2 linked regions of the Rattus norvegicus genome follow. The protein of the gene in region 2 interacts with the protein of the main gene of each other region in a pairwise test. Links are inferred from orthologs where the notes say so. Each region holds a gene or a part of one and is shown on either strand. Other genes may lie near its edges. The genes, in order: Rgs17 and Aqp1.

Region 1 (11,497 bases), on a different chromosome or scaffold from region 2:
GAGCTGTGGCCAAGACCAGTTTAACAGAGATGTTTGTCCTTTTCTCTACATCTATCCTCCCTGCTCACCTCTAACCCAGTAGGAGCTGAATCACAGCTAGGAGAGGAGGGGGCAGGGAAACAACAGATCTGTGTGCAGTGTCCAGTCTTTATCCCAAGTCTCTTGAGCCAGAAGCTTGCCCTGCAATTACGAAGAATAAATGTTTCAAAAAAATAATAAATTAGAATTATAAACTGCATTAACATTTAATAACAGAAAGTGACATGAAATTTTGGAATATTCCAAAGTTATCATCAAGGAAAGAGGGGAGAGGGTAGTTTGACACAGAATGTTCTAAAACTATAATTGGAGAAGAGTAAATGGTGGCAATTTAGATTTGTGAAATAGACATACTTGTAAGGTCATGTGATCCTACCCCATGGTTATATGGTCCTATGTAAGCGAGGAAGGGAAGGTTCATGTTCAGAGAATGTCAAAAGAGCAGCTCTCCGTATCAAGTGCTTGAGCTCAGGTTTGCACATCTATGAACTGAGAAATTCCTTTCAAAGTGTTGCCTTTGTTTAAACTTTAAAGAAAGATAACAAAGCAGGACCTATTCCCAGGGTTGATTTGAGAAGCAAGACAGATAAATGCAGAGCCATCTTGTCTGATCTGTGAACTTTAATGACTCAGGCTCCTGGAGTTCAAAGGGAGAAGCTGGAGAGATGGCTGGGTCAATAAAGTGATTATCGTGTGTGTGTGTGTGTGTGTGTGTGTGTGTGTGTGTGTGTGTGTGTGCGCGCGTGCGCACCCGCGCTCGTGTTTGTGTGCATGAGAGAGAGAGAGAGACAGAGAGACAGAGACAGAGACAGAGAGACAGAGACAGAGAGCCTGAATTGATCCCCAGGACTCGGGACTCAAGCAAAAGCTAAATGTAATGTCAGAGACTTGTAGGAGATGGATAAATCCCAAGGGTTCATTAGCTAGCTAGACTAGCCTACACAGTGAGTTATACAGCTCCAGGCCAGTGAGAGATCCTCACCTCAAAACAAACAAACAACTCCCTCCCAAAAAACCTCCAAAACAAAAACCAATAACAATAAAAACAGACAAAAAGGTAGCTCCTGAGGAATGGCACCTGAGGTTGTTCTCTGTCCCTCTGTCCTCCACACACATGCCCATATATGTCCACCCTTCACACATGCACCACACACACACACACACACACACACACACACACACACACACACACACACACAATTAAGGAGGAAGGAACATTGCTGATTGGGAATAGGGACCAACCTCCACTCCAACCTCAGGCTGTAAAACATACTACAACCTTCATATAGCTGTAAATAGTGTTTGCCTTCTCAGAGTATAATATACATTAGTTGCATTTAGCACAGTTCACTAAGGATAAACATCTCTCCATACTCTAGAAGATTATCTGGAACCCTTAGCTTTAGTCCTGAACAGATAGCTGACCTGTACCATTCAGCCAATGTTAATGGTGCATCAATGCAGATAGGAATGAATGGGACCTCAAATGAGTGGATTTTGATGCTCAGTATTAAACACATGGGAACAATCATAAAGCTTGAAGGGATAGTGGCAGAGGAGAGACACAGATTTGGGTCAGGATGGCAAGATATCATCATCATAAAAGTCCCACCACAGGCAACAGATAGAACTTTTGATGAGCTGGTAATGTCTGTCTTAACAAATTTATCAGCATATAAAGCAAATGGTAGCAGACAGGTAGACAGTTGGCATTGAAGATTGTGGAACAAGATGGCAAGTACGAACAAACCACACACAGCCGGACCTCACTGCATTGGAAGACTTTTGGGGATACAGAGTGGTATTCCTGCCCTAGACTATACAAGCAGAAATCCAGAGGCACAAAACCCAAGATATACAGAGGGGATCTAGAGCCAAGATGAACGGCAAGTGCAGCCCAACTTGCTAGGCTGACTCATGTCAAGGTGACAAGACAGTCACAGTCCCCCCTATCTATACTCATTTACGCTACCTAACAACTCTTCCAGCTCTTTATACCAAGGGACCCGGAGGGAGTTGGTAAATGCTGTTTGTGGTAATTTACTGCCCTCGGCTATAAGATTCAGTAAGCACTGGCCCAGAATGGAAGACTCGTCATTATCAAAGGAAAGCCCGATGCAATCTTCTTGGTCCCTTGAATTCTTTCTTCTCACAATCTGACCGACTACCTGTAATTGCACACAGTATCTGATTCCCATTGATTTTATTTTGCCAAAGCCCATATGCAATACCTACCTTACCTGGCTTCAGGATTATTAGTCTGTGACTTTCATTTCCCACAATGCCATGCAGATGCTGCCTAAGATTGCTCAAGTGAGTGGGAGAGAGGAGGAGTGAGTGGATGAAACTTGAATAGGCAATCACTGTGTGTCTGGTGAATTCTACACTATTCACACATAAAGATTTAGGCGAGACTGTACTTTCATGTAGCACTCCAACATATTTCACACTGTGAGACGAGTCCACTGGAAAATCAGGAAACCAGGAAGTCTTTAACAAGACTTGTCTTGTAGCGACGTGAGTCTACTCCTTGTTTGCATCTTCAGTGTATTTCAAAAGACAGTCACACAGACCCTTCTCCATGTTGAATATCAGCATGCTAATTTTCTCACATACATACACTCGAAGACCTGCTCTACAAATGTGCTCTACCATAAACCAAAACCTAATAGATACAAAAACCCCTTTGAGAAAATCAGAATGTAAGCTTTCCCCTATCTTGACTTCCTTCCGGCCCTGGAGGGAAATCTGATAAGGGTGAAGGTCATTCCACAAACCAGCAACTCATGTAGGAACTTTTGCAAGTCTCCAGTTAACACACCCACCCGTCACCATCAGGCTCTGTGATTTGCTAGTCTTTCAAGAATCTGATGGTGCTAACTGAAAGTTGCCAAACTTTCTAAACGAGGTAAACACACAGAAAAAGATGCTTAGTCACTGTAGGGGAGCAAAGGTTTGGCTCAAGGGACAGTGTAGTGAACCAAACAGAACCAAGCAGAATGTAAAGGTGTAGATTCTATCAACTGAGTATTTTTCTGAAGCTACTCCAGAGGTCTCTGCTGGAAACAAGAGGTCTTAAGAGCAATGTATGTGGTCATAGGCCACACGCTGGTTTTACGCATATCTGCACTAAGTCAGCTAAAACATGGCTAATGTCAGACATCCAGGGAGTTATAGCACAAAATGGCTGACAGTAAATATCCAAGTAACCCCAAGTAACTGTAATCTGCTCTTTAACTATTTTTGGCGGACTACCACTTTTATGTGCATTCTACATAATTTCGATCTTGGGGTCAGAGTTCCAGAGCCTGAGCCCAAGCCCTGGCCAGCCTACCAGCACGCGTGTCATTCTGTAATTCTGTGTGTCTTCGTGGCTACCTCCATGAGACCTGTGTGCTGGTCTGAGAGTTTCATCCTGAGAGTCCTTTAGTCTCCAAATGTATCTTTGTCTTAGCAAATATCTACAACTGTCTTGACAACATGTGCCATGTAGAACCGTCTTTGACAGGCTGGGCAGAGGTAACGGTGTACTCTACTTATATATGTCAAGAAACAACAGACTGTGGTGAGAATCCAAGAAGAAACATTAGTAAATGCAAAAACCATTTTTCTGTATTTGTGATCTATTCAATCATCCATTTAGTCATCCATAGATATTCACCAAGTGGATGTTATGTGCCAAATCTTCTTCTGGACCCCATAGATGAGACAGTGAAAGTGAAGTTTTAGAAGACTTCGTTCTAGTATAGGGTTGGAAGGAAGATACTAAACAACTTATTTCAATACTGGAAAAAATATTGCCTTAATAAAATAGAACAAGACAAGGGGATCCTTCTTCTTCTAAATAAGCAAGAACTGCTTGCCTCATTGGCACAGTTTATAAGATGGTTGTATTAGGCCTTCAGTAGGAGCAGATTGCCGATGCCTCCATAATGTTAAATAACCTGATATGTAAGGAACCACGTGCATGGGATTCCTAGGAAGGAAGAACAAGAGGCATCCCACACTGACAGCTCTGCACAGCTAGAACACTCAGAGCTCTATGGTCTACTCGAGCAAGATAACGGCAAATACATCTTGGAGGATAGTGAACAGATCCTCCCAAGCTAGGGGATGGATCATGGGCTGTATTTAAAATGCAAGGAAAACTACAGGATGGTTTTAAGCTGCTATTTGGAGTGTCTGGGGGAGAGAAACAAGGAATCCAAACAGGAGGCTTTGAGTTGTCCAGGTGAGAGATGACCGTGGGTGGGACGGAGGCTACATCAGCGGAGATTGGACATATATATTTAAGGTAGAGGAAATATGACTTGCTAATTAACTGGATGAGGATGAAAAGCAAGAAGGCGAAGCAAGGATGACTTCCACAGTTTTGGATTGGATAACTGGGTTGAACAGTCCAAAGAGGAACAGGTTTGGAGGGGGTGGATTTCCTCCGCTCAGCTTCTGAGATGCCTGGTAAATGTGGTAATAATAGTAGCTACCTTGTGGGGTTGTCATGAAGAGAAAATAGGAAACACATGAAAAGAATTTAGGCCAGTGTCAAGTAGGAAGTAACTGCTCAATAAAAATGAAGAAGGATAGCTGTTGAAGTAAAGGCGGCCGTTCAAGAATTATTGATGGCTGTAATTCTTCACCTAACATGGGTCGGCAAAAGTCCATTACAGATGAAGAATAAAGATACAGGTATTCGAGGGTGATAGTTGCACAAACCAATAATACAGAACATCTGTCTCTTCCAATCCCTATGTTGAAACCTAAACTCCTAAAGTAACTGCAGTGAGAGGTGTTGGCTTCGGAATTGGTTAGACCAAGTGGATGAAGCCTCGTGTGTGGATGTAGTGATCTTTTACGTTCACACCAGAGGCTGTCTTGTGAACTTCCAGCATGTGAGGAGAAAGCAGATCCATTTGTCAGGACTCCAGCCCTCTTAAAACACGGAATCTGACTGAATCTGACCTCAGACCTTCCACTCTCCAGCAGTATGACAAGTTAGTTTCTGTTGTCTGTAAGTCACCCCTTAGGTGGTATTTTGTTAGAGCGGCCATAATGGACTAAGATAAACTTTTATACTCTCCAACAACAACAAAAATGAATTACTCTTAAAATGAAGCTGCCAGGGACAACCGAGCCAAGCACTCAGGTGCCATGGCAATGGTAAATCCCTAGATATTTTTCCAAATTTTATTCTCCATTTCTGTATTTATTTCTAATTACAGACCAGTAGTTTGTAGACATGCTCCAAGAAGTGCCCTTTCAGGGTATTAGTATGCAAAGCAGAAGATGCAGCTGAATAAAAAAGACCCCTCGTTATAGTAATTGAAGGGGGCGGGGCTCAGGTGCTCAGTGGGCTGGAATATCAACAGTATTTGCATACAGGAGGACCCCCTGGCAGGGGAGTGTCATACACGGCTACAAGCAATCAGTTCTAATTAGCTGGAAGGGAAAGGGCCTAATCATTCCTGCGGGAACTCTCTCCTCTTCCCCACAGATGTGAAATCTAAAGAGCAAGATATCCGCTTTCCTCACTCCCCCCTCAGAAACACTTCAGCCTAATCACAGGAGGTATAATCTAGTGCTTGGAATGCATTAAGCATCCAAGGCTCCTTCACCACCAAGCTGCGCTCTGCTGGCAGGCAGAAAGATTGGCAATTCCTGTGACTGCCAAGTGGTCCTCTAAGGATGCTTTATGTCCCAGGTTTCCAAACCAGGCTAAGAGTTCTTGACTCCCGCCCTGCTTTAGGTTTATCTCACTGAAAACCTCAGCTCCAGTGCCCCAGAGGGTACACATACCTAAGCCCAGAGAGCGCCTGAAGGAATTCGTGGGTATTTCTGAGTACGCCAACGATACAGTCAAGAGACTCCAACTTTCTTAACTTTGCATTCTCTTGAATCCCTCAGGCAAAAGGGTTGAGGATAGCCCGAGGCTAAGGGAACCTGAGTGCCTGAAAGACTTACAAACACTGTCCCAGGGACTAGGTGAACACTGCCCGGGCTGTGGGTAAAAGTGAACGGGGGGGGGGGGGGGGGTTGGGGAGAGGTTCCTTCCCACAAAGTGTGTCCTCTCCAAGAAGACACACACACACACACACACACACACACACACACACACACACACACCCCGACCCCCACCGCAGAGCCTCCTCACTGATGTCGCCAGAGCCGCCTGGGCACAGAGACATCGACACCTTGAGCTCTGTCGCCGGGCGGGCACGCCAGGAAGGGTTGCGACGGTGACTCACGCATCCAAGCGCCCGCGGGAGGGGAGGACGCCTCACCTCCGGCTGCGCCGGGCGAGGGGCTGCGCCTGTCTCCTGGACGCATGCGCTGCGAGTTGCTCCGCTCCCTCCCCGCCCACCCCAGCCTCCTCCCTCTCGGCTCTATCCTGGCCTCTCTCCCTCTCTCCGTCGCCGGGTGCTGAAGTTGGGCGGATGGCAAGGAGCCCGCTCCGCTAGAGGACGGAACAGCCCAGCCTTGAGCACACTCGGACTCGGACCCGGGGACGGTCGCCCACATCCCAGGCCACCTGGTAAGACGCGACCTCTGAATCCCGGAGAGGATAAGAAATAACATAAAAATGTCTGCTTTGCACTGATGGGTGGGCTTGATTTTTTTTCTCTCCTTTTGCTCCCCCACCCCCACCCCACAGGGAAGTAGGTGGCGAGGGGGAGGTAGGAAAGAGGGGGCGGAGGGGACGCCCGCCGCCTGTGCTGTGGCTGGTGAAGCAGTGAGGTGCAAGGGTCTCGGCGGGCAGCACCTCCTCGCGGCTTCGTGAAGTTGAATCCCGCGTGGTCCGCTTCAGGGCTCGGTCCACTCGCGTCCCCAGGCTCTGTAGAGGGGCTGGACCGCTCTCCTGCCGGGTCACGGCTTTGGGTGTCCCTGCTCCCGGGAGGAGAAATCTCAGCACCTTCAGGGACCTGGAGGTGAGAATGCGCTGCGGTGGCGGGTGGGGGAGCGCGCAGGGGTTCGGGGTCCCCCGGCTTTTTGTAGCTGTTTGGCTAGTAGAGAATCGATGGTGAAATAAATCGAGATGGTCTCAGGCGCGAACCACCTCGGATGGTCTCATTTCTCCCTTTATCTTTCGGTGCCTTTAGGGAAAATAAGCGATTCAGGTGCAGGTGATGGCTTTACACATACCTTGAGCAGCTGTTGTGTGTGCGTGTGTGTGTGTGCGTGTGTGTGTGTGCGTGCGTGCGTGTGTGTGTGTGTATGTGTGTGTGTGTGTGTGTGTGTGTGTGTGTGTGTGTGCGGTGTGTGTGCAGAGGGTGAGAGTCTCTTTTGTTCCTCCCCCTTCCCCTTTAGTCCAGAGAAAGCGAGTTCTGGTGTGCACTGCACCGGGTCGGTTTTACAGCAACCAAGGGGGTGAGGATTGGGAACGCCTACCAGCCCCCAGGCGCTGCCCCGCTTGGGTGCATCACAGACTCCTTTGCTGTGGGAGCTGGTTCTCCTGATTATGGATGGATCACAGCTTCTAGCTGTCTCCTCGCTAGCCTGCCTTCTTCTCTCTTTCCTCTGGCTGCCGCAGAGGCTGGGTGCAGACACTTCCCTGTTGTTTCCTCTTCTTCCTACCTCTGTGTCTTGGTGGAAAATGTCGGAGGACCTGAGAATGGCGGAAGGACAGAGCAGCGGGTGGGGACCTGCTCCTGGCCAGCGGGAGGCTGCTTGCTGTGTGTCTCTGGCAATCCGCGCCACTCACTCAGAAGAGACTGAGCAGGGGTCACCTGGTCTAAAAGACACCAATGCAAGACCACCCTGTGTCCTCCTCCTCCACTGAGAACTGAGAATGGTCGCTCACTTGGGAGATCCTGGTCACCCAGGAACCCTGTTCCTGGCTCTGGGCATAGTGTTTCCAATACTCCGTACAGACCCTTCAGTAAATTCATCCTTCTAAATCTGGTCTGAAGAACTTTGCAAGCTTTTAGCTGTCTCTTCGGGGGAGGAGGGTGTTAGAGCTGGATTCTATCCATCATGGGTTGGCTATCACAGATAAAGAGAACCCTTAGTTGATAAACACTTCTAAGACTGGATTCCATCTGCATTTCCGGCGCTCAGTCACACTGGTTTTCAGGGTGTTAAACCTTTCTGAAAACCATTTAATTGACAAAATGAGAAATACATTTTACTCCTACAGGGAAGACGGTGTTTTCCTCATCGGTTCGGAGCTGCTAGATGCAAACAGCAAAGCTCTTAAGTTCCTTGTATCCATTTCTGAAGTCTGTCATAGTAATAGCAGTTATGTATGGAGCATGCTTTATAACACTGATAACTAATCCAAGGGTAATTCAAGTCCTAATTCATCAAGTCACGTGACTGGGAGGTGTTAACATGAACTCAAAGAGTAATTAGCCCACTCACGACAACATACATTTATTTACTAGTTTAGAATTTTAAGGTCTGTATTTAGGGCCCATGGATCAGGTTCATTGATGGTTTTTGGAGCTAAGAAAACAAGTGTTTATTATTACAGGAAAGGATCAGATGTTCTATTTTGTTAAGTGAGATGCCTCTCCTTGGTGATAACAACTGAACCCAGATCACCAGTAGCCATCTTTCTCTTTAAAACTGTCTCTAAAAGATAAAGAAATCCAGTCACTTTAAAACTGACAGTGTGGGGTTGGGGATTTAGCTCAGTGGTAGAGTGCTTGCCTAGCAAGCACAAGGCCCTGGGTTCGGTCCCCAGCTCCGGAAAAAAAAAAAGAAAAAAAAAAGAAAAAGAAAAAAAAAGAAGGAAAAAAAAAAAAAACCTGACAGTGTAAGGTGTTCGTTTTGCCCATTTCCAGATTTTTTTTTTTTTTTTTTTTTTTTTTTTTTTTTTTTGCGATGCCTCAACTTCTTCTTGGGCTAGTACCTACTTTGGGGTCTGTGCTCATTTCCACAGCAAATAAATGACCTTCCCTTCCCAGTTTTGGAGGGCCATCCTATCAGGATTTAGTTCGTTTAAGCTCATGATGTTAATGGTCTAAGTCCATTTCCATCCCCACGGACTTCTTCTACTCTTTCATAATAAATAAATCTCGTTAGAGTTTCCTACCCCAGAGCTAGACACTTTGAAAACAAAAAGGTCTGTTCTTACTTATTTAGCCTTATTATACAGCTAAATAAAAGTGAATGACCCCCCACCCTAATTGGTGAGCATTCCACTGACACACCCAGTGAAAAGAGTCAGGAAGAACTTAGGTGTGAATGTTCTACTGTGAAGGGATTGGCTCCCACATTAGAAGTTCATTTTCTGAACTGCATGAACTTCCCTAGAAAAGCAGTCACCAACAGAGAAGGGTGGAGCTAAGTGGGATGGGAAATCCATTTCTACAGGAGATTTGGATACCCTAGTTCTGTCTACAGAACAAGGAAGATATGTCACTCTTCTGAAGAATGAGAGGACCAATGCATTTGACCACTGATTACTACAGAGCGTACTGTGGGGTTTATGGAGAGCCTAAAACAAATACATCATTTCCTCTAACAGGACATTTCCTATGAAATTGATGGATACACTGTCCATATTTCCTGCATCCCCTGGCCTCTAATGTATCCTTTAGACACTTGAGTAACTTTTCAAAAGCCCACTTAGATTATTATACTTACCACAGTGCCAGCACCTGACACAGTAACTAAGAAAGAGAATTTCTAAACTAATTAACTTTGCAAAACTAACATGGCTCAGAAAAGTCTCCTGACCTGCTCAGCTGAAACCGTGGGCTCCAAGTCCTGTTTCCAAACCAAGGTAGAGGGTTAGGAAGGTACGACTTACATGGCTTACATGACAAGACATCTTTTGAAAGCAAGGGCACCTGAATTCAGATCCCTAGCACCCACATATGAACAAGGCATGTTCTGAATGCCTGTAACTCAAAACTAGGTTTCAAGGTGACAAACAGGAAGATCCCAGGAACTGTCTGCCAGTCAACCTGGCAGAAACTGATGACATCAGGTTTAGTGAGAGACCCTCTCTCAAAAGTTAAGGTACAGACAGAAAATGCTCTTCTGCAGGTGAGTGCATATATACACGTACACTTTTGCTCTCATGCACACACACACACATACATATACATACATATATACATACAATGCTCTTTACCAAGTACACTCATTGAAATTATGCCCATGATCCTGCCTCTTGGAGGAAGCAAGTTTTAGAATTGTGAATGCATTCTCCTAATATAGCACTTAGAGTACTGGCTTGCTTCTGGGTGATGAGTTTATATTTATTTTACACATCCCAGAACACAGGAACTTACATGAAATGAGGACACACGTAGAATATAATAATCACAAATATTTTTGTCAAGACAGATTTGGCTGATGTACTGATTCAGTCATTTAATGACTTTGTTATTCATCTGCCCCGCCTCAGTCCCCCAGTGAGGAGATCCTGGGATAGCTTTAAGCACAGATAGAATACACTGTACAGAAGATATACTTTGCCACCAATTCATCATATGCATAGGTATTGTCATTTATAATTAATGTGTATTGAACAGTGCCGCTCTTGCTCTTTACAAAGCTCCCATTACTTTGTTACCATTTCTACATTTTAGTGTGATATAGTGACTACAAGCAACTCATCCTGTATATGACTTAATTTATTAGCCATTCTTCTATTTGTAAACTTTTTGTTCTTTCTAGCATTTTCCTATTTGAACAAGTGTGTGCCTTTATTCTCTTATTTTATGTATACCTTTTTTCTTTAGGTTTATTATATATACTGCCTAATTCCCATCAAGATATGTGATTCTTCCCAACAAATTATTGCTAAGATGGCAGGTGCACTTAATATTTTTCAAAACTTACACATTTTACTAAGGACAGTGATCAATCTGTGGCATGCTTGTAACCATCTTTTCCAACTGTGACGTGTTTGTATCATTTACCCTAGGTGTGTAATACTATTCAAATGCATGCTTGTCCCCTGAGTGATAATATTGCTCTTTTTTTAAAAGGAAACCCAAACGAGGAAAGGAAAAGCTCAGTGGCAAAGACTCTGAGTGACAAAGATTAGAGAAATTATCATGGTTAAAGCTGAAGGACCCTATCCTGGTCATCCGTCTGGGGAGCTCAGAGCTCACATCCGGTGTGGCTTTGCTTTCAGCCTGCGCAGTTCCCTATAGAAGCCCCAGTTGCTAACTGGTTTTCAAGCATACACTTCACTCTGAATGGTTCGAGAAAAGGAGTTCTCTGCCTTTAGCAGATTGTTCTACCAATTGCTGATGTCATAGAAAGAACTTTCCAGTTTTAATGGAATTAAAAAGAAAATAGGCACAATTGTGAACCTATGAGGGGATTGAGTCAAATTTTCATCAAAATAAAATCAAGTCAGCTTAGTGTCATATCCTTTTCTTAAATTTCGGCTGCATATAAAATTTAAATATTTTAAGAGGCAAATATCTGATCTATTACCTTAATGATTTTTTTATGCATCCAGAGAGTGTCTATTAGGTATTTTGTTTGTTTTGTTTTT
Region 2 (11,497 bases):
TACACCTTAACAGGTTTATTACAGAATCATTAAATGATCTAAGAATGTTCAAAATATTAGACCTATAGTCAGAAAAAACAATTTAGACTAAAAAATAAATTATTTTTAAAAACGCACAACTAAACGAATCAGCTCAAACTATTTCCAACGTGAATGTTTTTAATAATCCTCCCTCAGAAACTGATAGAATAAGCCAGTCCAAAAAATAAAAAATAAAAAAGGCACAAACAAGTGAGAACTAAACACGTAAACGGAAATACTCAATTAAAGGAAAGTAGGGGAAACTGTCACCTTGGGATTAGAGAGTAGTCAGTCTTTTGAAGTCCCTGGGGAAAATTTACACAAGCTGATAGGTCCTGGCCAAGCACTCCTGGGCTGAGCCCACGATTCGATTTGATGTGACTCCAGACACTGTGCTGGGCATGTTCTGCAGAGCAGGGGCTCTCTCGGGCACAAAGTCCCAGCTGGCTTCTGTGTGTTTGCACTGGTGTGTCTGATGGCATTTCTGAATGCGTCACCATGAGTCCCTCATGCACCATGCCCACAGGGGTGGTGCCACTACTATCTGGGGAAGGGGGTGGAGTGTCAAAAGAGAGAGACCCCTTGAGTGAGAGCAGCTGCTTTCAAAGGCCCTTCATTTGCTCCCAGAGATAGTTTATCTTTCTGATGAGGAACAATACACGAGGAAAAGGTTTCCAGCTTCCTTTCTTCCTTTTCCTTACTGCAGAGCAAAGAGAGGAAGAGGCTCCTGTGAGGACCTCCCGCCCGCCCACCCCCTGCATCCCCAGATCTAAGCAGTGCTCAGAGCACATTCTTTGCCCTATGTCACGTATGTGCATGTGCGTGTACATGTTTACAGAAGGTTTGGAGCATAGTCCTGTACTGACATTGCCCACTGTACAATCTTGACAAGAATCTATAGCTTGATTGGGTCTCATTTTCCCGAGAGCAAAATGCAGGCACTGACCTAAACTCTAGCCCCAAGCAGTCTTCTGATTCCTCCTTGCCCAAAATCAGGTAGGCACCCTCTAGCCAGCATTCAGATACCTCAGTTCAAGTCTCCACCTCCCATTCTCAGTTTGGCATAAAGCCTGTAGCACAAAGTCTCTTACCCACCTACACTGGACCTCTACCCAGCCAGGCTCCCCCAGAGCAGCTTCCCTGTCAGGGGGCGGGGGGTCCAACCTGCACGTTTCTAAAGTTAGAGCGCTCAGCTGCTTCCTGAGTTAAAAACAAAATCTTTATACAGAACAGAAACTCCCCTCTGGAGTCTCTACTGGAATTTCAAGCCCCTGAAGGGGCTGATTGTGCCCACCGCTGTCTTTGGTCTATGGGATTCAATCTCAGTCTCAAGGAAGCTCAGGAACATTAGCTGTTTGGGTGAGCATAGCCCCAACCCCTGCTCGTTCCGCTGGGGCTGTTCCCACTCATCCCAATACTGTGGTTGAGGAGCCCCGCTAGTCTCCAGGAAAAGTCCCAGACAGAGGAATCCCTGAACACTGTGGAGCCTCAAAGACATTTTCCTGCCCTTATCTACAGGTAGGAGGCTCAGGTTTCAGCCGTCCAGGAGCTCTGAGACTCGCAGGTTCTTCTGAAGAGTAGGGACGGGAAGGTTCCCAGGGCAGAGAACTGCTACCAACAAGAATACATGGCTTCCAGTGGCTGTGGGGGTGGGTAGGGAGAAACTGTGACCTGCCCAGAGAGACCAGGAACACACTGAGTGTGTCCTAGAGAGTAGGACTGCGTAGGGACCTACTTTGCTGCGGAAAGCTGCTCGGGCTAGAAAGAGTAGCACCAGGGCAGAGGAGCTGAGGCTCCGGTGGGATGGGGTGGGAGCAGCTTTCCTCAGATGCTACCTGCACGAGTCCTCTTGGAGTGTTGTCTTTTAAATACTTGTCCCAAGTGGACCCTGGTTTGGGACAGGTTGACCACACTAGCTGTACAGATCCAGCAGATGCTGTGGAGGACCCGGCCTCAGAATATTTGTGAGAAGGAATGTTTGCCCTGCCACAAAGCTCCACCTCTCTGCACTCTCCCCCTGTCCTTTCCCTCCTAGCTTCTGCCTGGAAACAATAATTACAGGTCCCAGCTATGCTGTTACACCCAGCCCCCAGCTCTGTCCCTGGCCATGCTGAACTTGGTCAGGGCATTGGAAATTTACGCTTCTTTTCCATAGCCCACTGCTAAGCCCTAGTCAAGGTAGCAAGAGATTTGACCCTGGTTGGCCTACAGGTAAGAAAGGACCCTCTCTCCTACTGTCTGGGGACGCTAACACCCAAGAAACTGACAGAGGAATATGCATTAGGGACCGATATATATATATATATATATATATATATATATATATATATATATATATATATATACACAATCTGGAATAGCAGGTGGAGACATTTCCAAGTATTTGGGTCCTGAATCAATAGAACTAAGAGATGACCCTGAAGAGAATAGGCGTGCCCTCTGCCTGAGACCCCTGGTGGCTAGGCTGGGAGGCTCTGGGAAAATAGTCTCCTCCAGAAACAGAGACCAGACAAGGTCCAGAGCTCCTACCGACTTCAAAATCCAGCCTCCTACTGTGACACCACTCTGTTAAATCTGATGACCACTTCTACTCCACCGCCTTCCTTGCCCCTTTGCCTCAGCTGTACCCAGAAGCCCCTTCTCAGTCCACATTTGGGTTCTTATAGGATGATCTCCCTGGAGCTCTCCTGGCCCTCCCACCCTTTCGGTTCAAAAGTTCCCTGGCCCGCCCTGACACCTCTTATCTCACCTGCCTCCTGCCTGGTATCACAGGCAGCTGTGTGGTCTATCTGGCCTCAGGCCCATGAGCTGCCCAGAGTGGGGAGCCTGGCTGACCCAGCCTTGCTCTCAGCACCCAACAGCCCCAGTCATTTCTGCAGGATGAGGGCCAGAAAGAGGAAGAATGAAAACAGCCGGGATGCCAGGACTCTAAAGCTCCAGCATCCTCTACTCTCCAAAGCCGGCCACACCCTTCTGAGTCCTGTTCATGGGTTCATAGGTGGGAATTAGGGCCATCTTAGCCCAGCCTATTGCATGGAGTTACATAGGGTGCAGGTGACTGACCTGGGGCAGGGAGCCTCAGAGCCTATAGCCAAGAGTGCAAATTAGGCTCTACTTCTTTACCCCACAAAGGACCTTATAGGATGCCTGTGGTCGCTATAGGGCGTTTTCTGAGCCCTGACTTAGTCAGGAGAAAGTTGTCCCCACCATGTCCCTAGGGGACACCCCCTGACTCACCCAACCACTTCCTGCCACTTCCCCCTCTGTTTTCTTTGGAAATCTCCATGCCAACAACTCACCCCACCCAGGTTTTGGCGGCAGGATGAGGGTAAGAGCAGAGGAGCTGTGAGAGCCTTCCCCAGGGATGTATAGGGAAGAGGCTGCCACCTGTTCCATTGACTGTTGTTCCTCTAAGGCATTGAGACCATTCCCAGCCCCGCCATAACCAGGAGCCAGTGCCCAGAGAGAGCCATTTGGCTGGCGGACAGACTGTCCTACATGCCAAAGGTCCATTGTTTGTTTGGATGGGGTAGAAACCTCACCACAATGTTTGGTCCCTCTATATAATACTGCTGCTGGGGCTCTCTTAGCCAAGTCCTTTGGGGGGTCAGTAATTAGTTCCAGCCAACAATATAAGCTAGTAGTGTGGGAGTAGCAGGAATGTCACCAGAACCTGAGGTCCTTTTGAACCTCGGATGCTCAGCTCCAGGAAGACTTGGTGGTCAACAGCAAACAGGGCTTAGGGTGCCTGCCTCCTTCCCCAAGCTGTCTTCATACTAGCCTGAAGCCTTTTCTCCCTCAGCTGTATATATTCTGCCTGACACAGATACTCTGTCACCTCTGGAAAATTGGTGGGGGGTAGGAGAACAAAAACTGAAATGGGGTATAGCCAGACGCAGGTGCTGCCGAAGCAATCATGTTCTGCCTCTGCCTTGGATGACAATATTAGAAAATGCAAAGCCTTTGCCAGCAAGGGCACGGGTCTTGCCTGTCACTTGACTTGGAAGAGATAAGAGCTAGGAGGGAGCATGTATTGCTTGCATCCTCCCCAGCCCCCACCTCAGCGGGAACTTGAACCTCCTCGCTGGAATTCACTGAGGCATCTAGCCCTGCTCCTATTGGAGAGACTGAAGTCTAGAGGGACATGGCCTGACTAACCCTGCTCCTTATGCTACCTACGGCAGCCAACTTTTCTCCAGCTAAGGTCTAAACTCCAGCCACAGGGCTAATCTTCAATCTCCAGCTGAGCAGAGGTTGACTTGAGTGTGATCCTGAGGTGTCACTGTGGCACAGAAGTGCTCATCCCTGCAGAACAGCCAGGACAGCCGCCCTCTGCATCAGACTTTCACCTCCTCCCTGCCTGCATCTCCACGACCTGAACTTCAGTCGGGAAACGAAAGGCGTCTACTCACGCATAGCCATCCAACTCACTGGAGCCCTGGCCCACATCCTTACTCCTATCCCCCTGCATCTGCCCTACTGGGGTCCAGCCAGCAGCTTCCTTTCTCTGAGTCTTTGCTTCTGGCGAGGGACTCTGGGCTATTCCATTCTGAGATACCCCATGCCTTTACTCAGACACTCCTGCTAAACTGGTCCCCATTAAACCCAAGTGCACTCGGTCATCCTGGACACTTAGCTAAGAAATTGGAAAAGGTTTGTGACCAGGCAGCCACCACACAGGCCACTTAGCTGTGTGGAATGGCTCAGGGACAGTTATGTTGAACAGTTGCCACATACTGTTGCCAGCGTCTGCTTATCATTAAAGCCAGAAACAGTGGGTACAAGTGCTTACATTCTCCCCAATGCAGCATCTACTCGAAAGCAGCTTACACAAGTTCAGGACCTGGGCAGACAAGCTTGCACCTCCGTTTCCACCTCTGTACACAACAAGCAAGCGTGCCTCATGGTTCAGTGGCCAAGGACTACTGAGCCGAGCCCTTTTTCTGAACGGGTATCTAGAAAACTCTCCCAAAACTCCAGAGAGAGTTTTGTTTCCTCCACTTTGTCTAATTACTGGAGACAGAGGAAAGAAAGGGAGTCATCTCCTGACTTTCTGAGGAAGTTGGTTTGGGAACCTGGGTAAGGATTAGAAGCCACTTAGAAGCCCAGGCAACTTATCAAGAGAGTCACACTCAGACACCTGCAGAAGTGGCTTTAAACATGGTAGGTATCAGGAGAAAGTATACTTAGGACAGTAGGTAGAGGTTGCCTAGTGGACAGGGCTGCAAGGGAGAAAAGTGGATGTTCAGGTAGGACAGACAAGGGCCAAGAAACTCCCCTGGAGGGGGGCACTGCTGGCACACAACTAGCTGCCCCCTCAGCTCATTGCTGGCAGTAGATACTCGCAGGGGACTTTGGCAACCATTATTGTCCAGCTCCTCCACGCTCTCAGCTCTACCAGCAAACAGACCCTGTAGCCCAGCTGAGTTCTGGCCCCATATCTCAGCGTGACCCCAGAAACCTTCATCTTTCTCTCTGTTGTTCAGTACTCCCATTATATGGGTAGGCAAATGGAACCAGTCCCCTCTCTGCCTTCTCCTACAGACCCCTGCCTGAGATACCCCACTCACGTCATTTCGGCCAAGTGAGTTCTCGAGCAGGGAGGAGGTGATGCCGGAGAGGATGGCGGAGGCAACGATGGCTCCCACACACTGGGCGATGATATACATGACAGCCCGGAGGATGCTGATCTGACAGCTGAGCAGAAGCCCCAGTGTGACCGCTGGGTTGAGGTGAGCACCACTGATGTGACCCACACTTTGGGCCAGAGTAGCGATGCTCAGACCAAAGGCCAGTGACACCTTCACATTGTCCTGGACCAGCGTCTGGTTTCTCTCCAGTGGGTAATTGAAGCCTAGGGCAGAACCGATGCTGATGAAGACGAAGAGGGTCATGGCCAGGAACTCAGCCACCACAGCCCTCCAGAAGAGCTTCTTCTTGATTTCGCTGGCCATGTTGGCAGGGGCCTTGACTTAACCGCTGGATGCCTGGTGCTCAACTCCCTCCAAGAGCTGAGCCACAGCCTGGGCTGGGCCTATTTATAGGGCTGGGTGGGGGGAGCACAAAGGGAGGAAGGCCTCTCCTTGCTCCTGGCCCGCCCCACACCACACGAGCCTCCTCTCTGCGATGGATGCAGACAGGGCTCTGCTGTCTGCCTGCCAACTTTTTCCTTCCTCCTCTCCCCCTCCTGCCCTCCCTTGTTCCCTCCACCCGCCTCAGCCCTCAGCCCTGCCCAGCCTGAGGAGGCAGGAGGCAACCGTTGCTCTAATAGGCTTTGAGAAATTCTTCCAAGCCAGCCCTTCTCAGGGGGCCAGAGAAATCCAGGTGTCCCCGCCCAGCCTGCAAAGCTCAAGGGTGCCTGAGGGCAGAGCCTGGCACTCTAGAAGGGGTGGAGAATAGAGGTTGTCTGGACTCCCTAGACGAACATTGCCCTCCCTGGAGGTGGCACCAGAAATTGCCTGCCTGTCCCATCCCACTCTGAGCAGAGTTAGTAATCTGAAGTTCTCAGGCCCAGAAATCTGTGGGCCAGTGTGACTTCCAATGTCCTGGCCTGGGCCAAGCAGCTTCATGTCACTTTGTGGATGTGCCCTCACCACCCAGGCCTCAGTTGATACGGGTAGAGAAGCTTTCTGGGAGCCAGCTATCATTCTGCAGACAACGGTAGGCCTTAGCCAAGCTAAGTTGTTGGAGAACCCCCCGTCCCCAATCCTCAAACTTAAAACAATTTGAGCCAAAGATTTGAGAGAGGTTGGGGAAGATATTTAGTTTTTTTTTCTTTTCCCCCCTATAATAGGAGAAGGAGCTAGAAGGTTACTAGAGAGATAGAAGGAATGACAGCTGGACCTGAAGAGGAGAGAATGGGAGACGGATGCAGAGATGGGATGCTGGGTACAGCAGCAGGAAGCATTATCCAAGCGATGGTGGAAAGTGAAAGAGGTTCCCCAACCAGGCAGGAGACAGGGGCAAGATTTAGGGATGCTCCCACTCATTCGATCCTCGCCTGGGCACTGGATTCAATCCTTAGCATCTCAGGAAAAAACAATACTTCAGAAACAGGAAAAGCACCAAGCAGAGGAGACATCAGGCTGGACCAGAATGGAGATACAGAAAGAAAAAGGAGGAAGGTAAGGGGGACCCAGGGGAGCAGAGTCACTTTCCAACAGCAGGAGGAGAGGAGGGGAGGTGGGTGCAGACAAAGCACCCACCACGCTCCCTGTGTACCCCCAAAACCTGGAGTAAAGGACCAGAGAACTGGTCATTTGCCTACTGTCTGAGTGCTGGAAGGTATACCAGGGACAGCAGGTAGGCTCCTTCTGTGACACAAGGCGGGACCTGTAATAATCAGGTCCCCTGCCTTCCTATCTTAGTCCTTATCAGAACCATTGGCTTCTTACCCATTAGAGGTGGGAAACCAATGCTCACCGAGAGAATGGTCTTTGAGTCTGACATCCATTAAGGTAGGGCCAAGCGCCTTCTACCCAGGGTCCACACTACAGAGAAGGATACTGTCTCTCAAGGGCCAGCTTCTGTTCAGCGGCAGCCCTGGAACCTGATGTGACCTACAGAAGTCCTGTGGTGGTATGTTTGATGGGAGCAGGTGGCTGGTTGGGAATTAATTTATCACCGCACACCTAGATACTTAGAAGGCCAGGAGGAGTGGCTCTGAGCAGAAAGGTGGTGTAGAGGCTGCTTGGCAGCTGTATGCAATCGAAGACTTATTAACCCTCTAGAGAGGGAGCCATGATGGAGCACTTCCTGGAACTTCCACCACATCCTATATTCTGAGAGGTTCCCCTGTGACAGAGCCCCTCAAGAAACTCAGTTTGATTCCAGGGGCCTCTGATCAAAGATCTGTCTGCAAGGCTGTGTAAGGCTCATATCTGATGCTGTCTGGCTCAGGGACCCAGCCAAGAGGATTCTAGGAAAATCATAGGGAGAGCTGGCCCCACACCTGCAGACCAGGTTTGTAGCTGAATTATGTGGGGTGTGTGTGTGTGTGTGTATGTGTGTGTGTGTGTGTGTGTGTGTGTGTGTGTGTGTGTGTGTGTAGAAGAGTGGTGAGATTCCCTTGGATATTACTAGTATATTCTTTAGCACAAGTATTTTATTAGCACTAATATCATGCCAAACACCATTCTGGATACCACAGGATACCATAGGCCACAAAGACCAGCCCCTTGTCTACTTGAATTTTCCCTTCTGCCGCATAAGCTCTTAAACTGTTTAGACCCACTAACCACTGAAGCTATGAACATGGCTTCGGTTTTTGAGCAAAGGAGATGCCATCGGGGTGCAGGCATTGCCTGAAATACCGAAGTGAACTTTTTCTGTCACTACTTCCCACAATGCCCAGGGGCCCCTGCAATTCTGAACTGGCTATCCGCACAGTAAAGTGGAAAGTTTCCTGGCTGTACGTCAGGCAGAAAGGCCCTATGCCTCGTTCTTTTTCACTGGCCTGTCACGATCCAGGCTGGCTGGCCAGGGTTGGGGAAGTGTGGGGGCCGGGGGCTGGGGGGGGGTAGGCTGAAACTAAGCAGTGCCTTGCTGGCTGGGGTAGCCATCAATGGTGTGCCAAGGGAAGAAACACTGGGATTAGAATGCTCCACAACTTAATCCTAATCCGAGAGCTTAAGCACCACCCCCATAAGGAAAGGTCCCTGAGGTCTAGGTTACTCTACCCAGTTCAGTATCCCAGAATGAAGGGCAAGGACCTTGAGTACTAGCCTCAGGGTAGGCAGGGGTGCTGATGAGTCCACACATAGGTAAGGTAGAGAGGGAAGCATCAATCTAAGGTAAAAAAAAAAAAATCACAGAAGAGGAGGGTGCAGCCAGAGCCCCTACAGTGGAGTCAACCCTGGGAACCTGGTCCAAGGCCTGGCTGTACTGTGCTTCTCCTTAGAGTGTCCCAATGCCCTAGGGCTGGCCCCTGTGTCTTTCCTGTGAACAGACTCTCAAGCCAGACTAAATAAAGCAGACACCCCCCATCCTAGTGCCCAAGCTCCAGGCAGGACTTGTCACTTGGGCCCTGGTGGCAGCCAGCAAGTGCTTTTCCAGCTGTGCTTTACTCCTGAACTGCCCAGCGAGGCCCAGGCCGGTCAGAGCTGACTGTTCACAGGATGATCCGGGGCTGTCTTATGTCTTCGCAGCTCCACAGAACTTCAGTCTCCATCTCAGAGGATGGTGACCAGAGCCTCAGATGCAGGATAAGGATAGGAATCTTAAGTTGTACAGGAAAGAAACATCTCTTCGCATGGTCCCTCTTCCCCTACCCGGAAGCTTTGGTGACACTCAGGGCAGAGACGCTGAAAGGGTGGACTCAATCTCCTGCCAGCAGAGGTTTTCTCTATAAGCCAAGCAAAGAAAGTAATGGCTTCATTCCGTCCAGAAGGCCCACCAGGAATAGAGTGCGGGGTAGGAGGAGACTTGGCACACACATAACTCTCCAGTCAGCATATGCTTACCACCAGCTTGGATGAGTTTTCCAGGCTTGTTCCGGCTTTCCTGGGTTGGAAGCAAGAACGGTGAAGCGGGAGAGAAAGACAGGATATTCCCTGACAGGCCTGAGGAGAGTGGACCTCTCTCCCCTCCTGCCTTACCCGCTGGGGCTCCCAGCTTTTCTGAAGTTTTCCCCATTGGGGCACCTGGTTTTGCCCCTCTGCTGGCTTTGATCCAGGACTTGTCAGACATGCCTCTCTGGAGGCTGGTCCACTTAGGAGTTCATAGCCAGAGGTGCCTATCTGGAGCTGTCCTCCTTGTGGGACAAGGTCAGCCCCTCTGACAATGGAGGAGACAAGGTCAGCTCAAATGGTGGCACAGGACTACTAAGGGTCTCGGAAGCTCAGCTTCTTTAGGGCCAGTGCTCAGGCTCCTCACGGCCCAGTATAGCCACATGACAGTCCCTCTCTTCCCAACTCCTATACCCTAGCTCACCAAACCTGCTGTGGCCATTCAGTGGGCATCCCTCCTTCTTCCTACGTACCCCTGGTCCTGCAGACCCTCCACTGTGATGGCACCCTGGACCATCCCACATTGAGCCTAGAAAAGGCTGGGTCCCTAAGGTTGCTGAGCAGAAAGCTGAGCATGGTGGGAATTCTGCCCCCTATTCCTGCTCACAAAAGAAGGACACCTGCCTCTCCCAGAATCTGAAGGGAGGAATCTCCTTGTCTAAGAGGCAGCGCCTGGGCATTCAGGCATCACGCGATCACTCTTAAATCAAAAACGGATTTAGGAGGCCCCCAGTGATTCAGCAGGGATGGAACAATTTAATAATTTTCTAGGCTTCTGTTTCCTATTCGCCCTGCTCCTCCCTATCCTCACTCTCACCCCTACTTGCCTCAAGCCACAGGCCAGGCTTCTTGCCTTCTGGGTGAGGGGCAATACCACACCCATTTCTGGACAGTGGGGTTTTCTATTTTAATGTTTTACCAGCAATTCTCTGTAGCGGAAGAGTCACTGGGACAGGATGGAAAAAAGCTGCCATTGGCCTGGTGGAGTCTACAGGGCTTTGATCTTTATATCATGCCCAGGATTAAAAAACGGAGATTCAGGAAAAAGGCTGAAGTCCAAGGAGGGCACCTGAGAAGGCAGGATAGACCCTGCCTCTATTCCAACCCACTCAGGGCTAGCAAAGACCTCCGTGACGGTGATAGTTGCAATTTCTCAAGCCCTATTCTGCAATGGGAATTCCTGATGGCCCAGGAGGACAGCATCTTCCCATATGGAGAGGGCACTGCTGGTGGTTTTTGAAACAGGCAGCTAGACCGCACCCTTGGGGAAGGCAGAGCAAGACAGGGCCTCTGCTGCTGTCTTGGGCCTTGAGAGGAAGTGTCATGTGTGTAAGTGGTTTGGGAGGGCTTCCTCACTCTCCGGTTCCTTCTCGGTTCCTTCTCTGCACTGGGCCTAGCCCTGCGGCAGTGGCTTCCTGATCCCCGCTGCCCTGGCCTTTTTTAAACATCTCCAGTCTTTGCCTCATTACGTTGTAAGACTTCAAGAGAAGAGATCCAGGAAACATTTGCTCTCCAGTCCTTGGAGAAACCAGGACTCAGAAAGAAAAGGAAACATGGTTCAAAGCTTGGGAAAGGAGCATCAGGGTGGATTCACAACAGTCTGGCACTCTGCGTTCCTCTGATCTGATAACCAAATCCACTTCTCATTCTTCCCTTCCTGACCGAAGGCTACCTTCCCTTCAAGACAGCTGCATGCGATTTAAGAAGAGCTTTTCTTGAAAGACATTGCAATACCTAGGTAGAAGAAAGGCCTGGAACCTACAGGTCAGCCTTCAACTACCCCTCCAAACCAGCAGCTCCCCCATCAAGTACCCCTCCAAACTAGCAGCTCCCCCATCAAATACCCCTCCAAGCCAGCAACTCCCCCATCAAGTACCCCTCCAAACCAGCAGCTCTCCCATCAAATACCCCTCCAAACCAGCAGCTCCCCCATCAACTACCCCTCCAAACCAGCAGCTCCCCCATCAACT

The links.
Region 1: the proteins of Aqp1 (region 2) and Rgs17 interact in binary tests that used the Homo sapiens proteins (3 or more experiments, as listed by UniProt). The two-hybrid records come from large-scale screens. The link is inferred for Rattus norvegicus from reciprocal best matches to the Homo sapiens genes AQP1 and RGS17.

The regions. Positions count from the first base shown.
Region 1 is NC_086019.1:44,724,859-44,736,355, reverse strand, and holds the start of Rgs17 (regulator of G-protein signaling 17), read left to right. Parts: upstream 1-6,410; 5' UTR 6,411-6,568; intron 6,569-6,808; exon of another isoform or gene 6,809-6,962; intron 6,963-10,730; 5' UTR 10,731-10,803; intron 10,804-11,497. UniProt on the Homo sapiens protein: Regulates G protein-coupled receptor signaling cascades, including signaling via muscarinic acetylcholine receptor CHRM2 and dopamine receptor DRD2.
Region 2 is NC_086022.1:85,807,321-85,818,817, reverse strand, and holds the start of Aqp1 (aquaporin-1), read right to left. Parts: upstream 6,035-11,497; 5' UTR 5,976-6,034; coding exon 5,592-5,975; intron 1-5,591. UniProt on the Homo sapiens protein: Forms a water channel that facilitates the transport of water across cell membranes, playing a crucial role in water homeostasis in various tissues.